Lonchura striata: one gene and its partner. Each later gene encodes a partner of the first gene's protein in a complex. Links are inferred from orthologs where the notes say so. Each region holds a gene or a part of one and is shown on either strand. Other genes may lie near its edges.

What was found. Proteins that work in one complex are often made in the same cells at the same time.
Region 2: the proteins of RABGGTB (region 1) and YKT6 are in contact, whole or in part, in a crystal structure (PDB 6J7F), measured with the Homo sapiens proteins. The link is inferred for Lonchura striata from reciprocal best matches to the Homo sapiens genes RABGGTB and YKT6. Residues at the interface, in NP_004573.2 of Homo sapiens: Thr3, Pro4, Gln5, Lys6, Asp7, Ile9, Lys11, Tyr37, Leu45, Trp52, Leu236, Asp238, Cys240, Arg281, Gly283, Asp284, Met285, Asp287, Phe289, His290; in NP_006546.1 of Homo sapiens: Lys60, Gln62, Asp63, Leu65, Asn83, Glu84, Tyr85, Pro86, Ser87, Leu153, Asn155, Thr156, Glu158, Arg189, Lys190, Cys194, Cys195.

What each region holds. Positions count from the first base shown.
Region 1 is NC_134611.1:4,027,144-4,030,887, reverse strand, and holds the start of RABGGTB (geranylgeranyl transferase type-2 subunit beta), read left to right. Parts: upstream 1-840; 5' UTR 841-922; coding exon 923-925; intron 926-1,378; coding exon 1,379-1,486; intron 1,487-1,652; exon of another isoform or gene 1,653-1,728; intron 1,729-2,483; coding exon 2,484-2,681; intron 2,682-3,744. UniProt on the Homo sapiens protein: Catalyzes the transfer of a geranylgeranyl moiety from geranylgeranyl diphosphate to both cysteines of Rab proteins with the C-terminal sequence -XXCC, -XCXC and -CCXX, such as RAB1A, RAB3A, RAB5A and RAB7A.
Region 2 is NC_134634.1:5,331,974-5,335,717, forward strand, and holds the start of YKT6 (synaptobrevin homolog YKT6), read left to right. Parts: upstream 1-1,367; 5' UTR 1,368-1,479; intron 1,480-2,277; 5' UTR 2,278-2,293; coding exon 2,294-2,397; intron 2,398-3,744. UniProt on the Homo sapiens protein: Vesicular soluble NSF attachment protein receptor (v-SNARE) mediating vesicle docking and fusion to a specific acceptor cellular compartment. Functions in endoplasmic reticulum to Golgi transport; as part of a SNARE complex composed of GOSR1, GOSR2 and STX5.

The DNA of each region.
Region 1 (3,744 bases):
AGGAGGGATGTTATATGCTGGCAGAGGTGATGGAGTCTCCATTTGACTCTCAAAACTCAACAAGTAGTGTCTTGAACAACCTGCCTCTAGCTAAGCCTACTTGGTGTAGGTGGGTTGTGCTCCATGATTTCAAGAGATATCTTCAAACCTGAGTAATTCTAGTAAGTAATTTCCAATTTCACTCCAAAATGTCCTTGCTTCTGTCTGGTCTCTTTCATGTCTCATCTGAATTTACCGGATGGTTCTACTGCTGTCATCAGGTATAAGCTCTGCCTGCAATCCTTACTTCTTGGGTAAAATACCTGGAAAATCAGTTCTTTAAAGAAAGCAGTTAGTCTCTATAAATTACTGATTTTCCCCCAAAACCCATAATGCAACATCTTTAGTAAGTATTTGACATATGTAAGAAACAGACCTTATTTTTGACTGTCCTATGCAACACAGCATTATGTTTAGTACTACTTCTTTGATGTTCCTGCCTGGTATAGTTCAGGGGGAACATGTGCCAGCATCAAGAGTTGGTAATCATGAATAGAGTCACCCAAGACAATTTTAATGAAGAAGCAAGAGAAATGGTTTTGAGCAAAAGGACAGCTATCTTTACCCATTTTACCTGCGACTAAATTCTTGGATTTGCTTTTTCACAGACCTGAGGAAGGAAACCGAAGTTATTTCTAAACGCTGTCCTATTTGCTGTGATGGAAGAAAGTGCACAGCTGGAGCAGACTTTACCTGCCGCACGTCAGAAGGCAAAGGCGGCTGCCGGCCCCTTGAAGAGCACAGCGCGGAGCAGCGGCGCCGCTCGGCCCCGCCTTCCGCCTCGCCGCTTCGCCTCTTCCTGTGGGGCACGGCGAGGCCCCGCCGGCCGCCGCCTTCCGCCTTCCGCTTCGCCTCCTCGCCTCCTCCTGTGCGTGCGGAGAACATGGTGGGTCGGGGCTCCGTGCTGCGGCTCGTCTGGCGCGCGGCTGTACCGGCCTTGGAGGGGCGCGGGCCGCGCCGAGCCGGCTCGGGGCGGCTCTCGCCGCTCCAGCGGCCCCGGGAGCGCGCGGGCTCGGCCGGGCCGCGCGGAGTCGTGGGGGCGCGGGGCGGCACGGCCGGGCTCGGGGAAGGGCTCCTGCGTCCGGCACTTCAGGGTGTCCTTGGCGAATTGGTGTTACTTCTTAGCTTTATTGCAAGGTTTGGTTCGTAGCCTTTCCTGGGGAAGGGTTTAGCCAGGCTGAACAGTGATGGCGTGAGATGCGCAACCTGACCTAGGCTCAAAATAGGTAGAGGGATGTTTTTTTCCCGAAGTCACAGCCACCGGTGTTGGCTCATTTATACCAAGTTGCTAAAACGTTTTGATCTGACATTGCAACTGACTTCTTGATGCTTTTTACAGGGAACACCGCAAAAGGATGTTATAATAAAACCCGATGCCCCAAGCACATTACTTTCAGAAAAACATGCGGACTATATAGCTTCATACGGAACAAAGAAAGATGATTATGTACGTATCAGTTTGTTACAGTGCAGCTGTGGTTTTGTTAACAGTAATAACCTTTATTTATTGGCTCAGATTTAAGGGTTAGATGCATGTTAACTAGCTAATTGTTTTTTACCCTGCAATCCAAAGTGTAAAACAAAGGTGCCCTTGTTAATGTCTCTATGTCTGTGGTGACTTTTGTCATGTATTATCTGACTATAATTTTGAAGATTATTATTTTAGCTCTATAATTACTCTGAGACCTGAGAAACAGCCTACTAGCTTCTTTATCCACTAGAATGCACAAGTAGAGTTGCATTTGCATGTTACTCTTTTGATGGGACAACTTACATCTATTTTGCAATCATAAGTGGTTGGATGTAGTCCACAAAAATGGAATTCCACTTCCGGCAGTAAAAATTGTCAATAACTGCTTACATGAAGAAAAGTTGCGGTTACCTTTACTGTTCAGAAAAGCATGCCAAGCACTTGCTTTCAGTTGTAGTGCATGTAAAAAATAATGTTTGTGTAGTGCAGGTGATGTAATCAATGCAAGAGAATTCAATAAAAAATTTCACTCTCTAGTGCAACTTTAAATTGTAAGGGTTTTGGCACTTTGAAATAGACTTGTTATTATCTGAGACTAGTTAGGGTGGCAATTTGAGGGCTTCTTTGGATGTCAAGATATTAAGTCATCTGAAGTGAATTGGTGCCCAACTACTTGTTCGTGGCTAATTTGACATTGAGCTTGATGGTTTGAACTAGAAAAATACAGGGAGGAAGGGAGTATAGTACGTGTTGATATCTATATGTACATTTTCCCATATGTATGAGTATGTATATACACATGTGCGTGATGTACCGAATATCTCTGAGTGGCTGATGTGTAGTTGCTAAATGGTTGGAAAACGATTCACTAACTAGAAGCTAAGATATTTGTGGAAGTTAACTAATGTATTTTCATTGCGCTATATTGATGGTGTGCTCATCTGATCAAGAACTAAAATAATACACTATTTAGGAATACTGTATGTCGGAGTATTTGAGGATGAGTGGTGTGTACTGGGGACTGACAGCGATGGATCTCATGGGGCAGCTGCACCGAATGAACAAAGAAGAAATTCTGTCATTTATCAAATCGTGTCAACATGAGTGTGGTGGAATAAGTGCCAGCATAGGTCATGATCCTCATCTTCTGTATACCCTCAGTGCTGTCCAGGTAAAAGTAGAAGGGTAATTTTAGAAAAAAGTGTTTGTGATTAAGTTTTTATGATTGTAGATTTATGAACCAGTTACTGTTGGAGGCCCATGACAAAAATTATTTCAGTATCTTATTTAAAAAAAAAAAATAATCTAATGGACAAAACTGTAGGATTTAGCTGTGTCACTTTCCAAAAATTGTCCTATTTGGGAATGTTTTACCTTTAATGGTCAATTAATGGTTACAGCATTGTTGCCAGTTTTGTAAGTTATCTTGGAATCCTCCTTAGCTACAGGTTTTATTGGAGCATTTTATAGATAATTTTTTATTTTATAAATTATTCTTAGTGCACGCTGAGGTGACAGATATGTATGACCAGAACAAGAGCAAATTTTTTTTTTTTATATGAGTTTATTTGGGGTGTATAATTGAAAAAATTTACTAATCTGTTGAGCATTTAATTTATTTGGTGAATATGCTCCCCCTGATAAGAAATAACTCTCTATCTTATTTTTTTCACTGCAGCTGTCTCTGTTATAGACTTATTTTCTCACTATTGCTCATGCCTTTATTTTGTTCTGGTTTTTTGTTCTGCTGATGCAAACCATTGTGTGAAAAAGTACCAAAAAGGCTCAAACACTTCTGAACAATTGGCTTGATTGCTTGCAGTGAGTGTCTTTCATTCAATCTTCTGGATGAAGTATTTTAATGATATTACAAAAAGTAATAAAGCATTCTTTTTTAGGCAGAAACTATGCTGGATTTAAGATGGTGGGTTTGAACCCCTTAGGTAGGACAGGATGCTGTAATGTTGATCATTATTGCCACTTTAGCTCTAGAATTACTCTGAATACTGTGAGAACCAGGACACTAAAGTTTTTCCAGGCTGTGATGTCTGAACATTTCCAAACTGTCCAATCCAGCTCCTTTCACATATTCCAGTTCAGTATAAGGGAGGTATAATTCGAGGTTGTTACCTTACAAATTAGATATGTTAGTTCTTAAATATGTACTTGATATTACTAGGAGATATTTTCATGTTAACTAAATTGAGCTGTAGCTGTCCAAAGTGAAAAAGTGT
Region 2 (3,744 bases), on another chromosome or scaffold:
TCGGCCGGGCCAGCGCGGCGCCCGCCGAGGGGGTCCCGGTGGCCTCAAGCGGAGGGGCCGGGAGCGGGGCCCGGGGCCCCAGGGCGATCAGCGCTGTGCCCGCACATCCTCCGCTCCGCCGGGGCTCCGGTCACCTCTCCCGCTCGCTCCCTTAATAAATCAATCCCGGGGCGGGGGTCCCAGCTCTGCAGACCCCCGGTGCGCTGGCCCGGCTCGGCCCGGACCCTCCCCGCGGAGCACCACGCCCCGGGTCACCCGTGTCCCCGTTGTCACGCCAACCGCTCGATGGCGGTGGCAAGCACTCCAGCGGCCGGCTTGGCAACCGGCACGCTCCCATGGCGACCGCGGGCACGGCGCGGCCGGCGGACCCCGCGGAGGGGCGCGGATCCGCCCCGGCGCCGCCGGGACCGGGCGGGGGGCCGGATTTGAGGAGGGGGATGCGGCACCCCCGGAGCCACGTGTCGCACCCGGCGTCGCGCAAATCGGGGACTGTGGAGGTCCGAGACCCCGAAACCTCCCGGCGCTGCTCCGGGAAGCGTCGCCCCATCCCCGGGAAGCCCGGAGGGGCGCCGGGGTGACAGCCCCGGGGGGCTGCGGGGGCTCCGGGCAGGGCACGGGGTTTGGGGGCAGAGCAGGGTCTGGGGGACACAGGGTCACCCCACAGCACCCCACTGCTCCCCCCGGCCGCACAGGAGGGTCCTGGCAGCCCACCCTGAGCGGTCCTCGCACCGCGGAGGGCTCCGAAACCCTGGGGAGGTTCAGCCCCTGCCCCCCACCATGGATGGACCTCCACCCAGGGCAGGACCGCCCCACGGAGGGGTCCCCACTGCCCACGGCGGAACCGCCCCACGGAGGGGTCCCCGCTCCCCAGGGCGGGCCCCAGCACCCGGGGGAGGCTGCTCCCCCTGCTCAGAGGGGTCACCACGCCATGGGGACGGGACCCCACACAGGGGACCCCCGACCCACCGCGGGACCCCCGGCCCACCCGGGACCCCCGACCCACCCGGGACCCCGCCCACCGTGGGACCCCCGGCCCACCCGGAACCCCGCCCACCGCGGGACCCCGCCCACGGCGGGACCCCCGACCCACGCGGGACCCCGCCCACCCGGAACCCCGCCCACCCGGGACCCCCGACCCACGCGGGACCCCGCCCACCCGGGACCCCCGGCCCACCCGGGACCCCGCCCCACGGAGCCGAACAGGCCCCGCCCCCGCGGCCCCGCCGGGCACAGCGCCCCCTGCTGGCCGCCCCGAGGAACAGGGCCACCCCAGCTCGGCGCTGATTGGCCTCCCGGGGGACGCCGGAGAGCGGGGAAGCGGGCGCCGATTGGTCAGAAGGCTGAGGGGGCGGAGCCATCTTGGCGCGTGCGCAGGCCGGGAGGAGTGCCACGGCGCCCCGGGCCGGCACTTCCGGCCGCTGTGCTCCACTTCCGGGTCGCGCCCATCGCCGCTCGGCCGCCGCCGGGACCGCAGCGCCGGTACCGGGCGGGCCCGGGGATGGCCCGGAAATGGCCGGGGCTGGCGGGGCTGGCGGGGCTGGCCGGGGCTGCTGGGGCCGGGGGATGGCTGGGGCTGGGTTGTACTGGGCAGTGGCCGCGTTACACTGGGTGGAGGGGCTGGGTTATACTGGGTTATACTGGGCCATACTGGGTTGTACTGGGCTGGGTTTTACTGGGTTATACTGGGTCATACTGGGTTATACTGGGCTGGGTTTTACTGAGTTATACTGGGCTGGGTTTTACGGGGTTATACTGGGCCATACTGGGTTATACTGGGCTGGGTTTTACTGGGTTATACTGGGCCATACTGGGTTATACTGGGCTGGGTTTTACTGGGTTATACTGGGCCATACTGGGTTATACTGGGCCGGGTTTTACTGGGTTATACTGGGCTGGGTTTTACTGGGTTATACTGGGCCATACTGGGTTATACTCTGCGGGGTTTTACTCAGTTTTACTGGGCTGGGTCCTGGGTTTTACTGGGTTATATTGGACTGGGTTTTACTGGGCTATACTGGGGTGGATTTTACTGGGCTGGGTGCTGGGCTATACCGGGCTGTGTGTTACTGGGCTATACTGGGCTATACTGGGGTGGATTTTACTGGGTTATAGTGGGTTATACTGGGTTGGGCCAGGCTGAGCCGTGCCGGGCCGGGCTGAGCAGGCAGGCGTGGGGCTGGGGGCTCCACCTGTCCGGGACGGGAGGGGGGTTTGGGGGAGCCCCGGGGCTGTCCCGGCCCGCAGGCCCAGCCCGAGCCCTCCGCCCTCTCTCCGCAGCCCCAGAGCCGCCGCCATGAGGCTCTACAGCCTAAGTGTCCTTTACAAAGGCGAGCCCAGGGTGCGCCTGCTGAAAGCTGCCTACGACGTGTCCAGCTTCAGCTTCTTCCAGAGGTCCAGGTGCGTGCCGCAGCCCCGGGGGAGCACAGGCAGGGCTTTGGAGGGTCTGCCCTCACTGCAGCTGCACTGGCAGCAGGGAGGGGCTGTTCCTAAGGGGGAGCAGCCCCAGGGCTGCTCCTGGGGAGTTGGGACCTGCTTGGAGTGAGGGATCAGCCTCAGCAGTGGAGTGAAGCTCCCGGAGCCCCAGCCAGCAGCGGGGCCCCACAAACCTCCAGCACGCCCAGGCCACAGAATCGGGGCTCAGGAACGCCTGGCAGCGGGGTCAGCTCTTCCCAGCCTACAGAGCTCTGCCCAGGTTATCCAGTGCCCTCAGGTGAGCTGGCTGAGCCCCAGGTGCCACTCCAGGCTGCCCACAGGGGGATCAGGGAGCTCCAGCAGCTCCTGAGAATCTCCTGGAGCTCTGGAATAGGTTATTGTTGCTTGGCAGGGTAGGGGAGTTAGGAAATTCCTCTGGGACCAAACTTTCCCTGCCAAGTTTTCTGGTGCCTCAGGCACGTCTGGTTCTGCAGTTCCAGGGGAAAGGCTGAAGTAAGAGTGTCTAAAAAAGCTCCTTCTCGGCCAGATGTGCCAGTGGCTCCAGGTGCACCCCACAGCACGCTGTGGCTGCAGCTCATTTTCCCAAACCCCCAGAAACTGCCCGTGTGGTCGTGCTGAGGGCTGCCCCCTCGGCGGGCTGTGCCCGTGCCCGAGGAGAGCTCCGGGATTTCCAGGAGCAGGGTGTCTGTGCCTGTCCCGGGTTATTCACGGGGATGCTGGCCCAGGTGTGATGTTCAGGGCGTGTTTCAGGGCTGCTCTGGGATAACCTGCTGGGCAGGAGTGCAGGGCCGGGCTGTGCCCGCGCCTCTGCCCGCTGAACGACTGCCAAGGAATTTGGCAGGGTCGGGAAGGCAGAGTGAGCAGCTGAGTGCCCAGTTCCTTCCAGAATACTGGGAAACAAAACCAGCACTCCCAGTGGAGGAGCAGTCCCTGAAGATGCATCCTGGGGTCTAACTGGCACGTAGTTGGACTCGCTGATGATAAATGTTTTAAATGTTTTCTCCGTGGTTCATGTGAACCCCTGGGGTGGTGGATGGGGGCTGGGTCCCTCCTCTCGGGGGGAGGTGTCCGTGCTCCCTCTCTGGTGAAGCAGGAGTGTTCAGGATGCTCAGGGATCCTTGGGCTGGACTTTTCCCTGCAGTGCAGAGTCTCTGTGGCGCTGGTGGCCGGGCTGGGAGCGGTGCAGACCCCTCTGAGGGATGTAAGCTGAGGCAATTTCCCCTCTGGAGCTGCTTCCAGCAGTGGGAGGCGGTCAGAGAACCACGGGCTGTGCCACACCAGTGCCTGGGTCCAGGGACGTTTCCCTGGCAC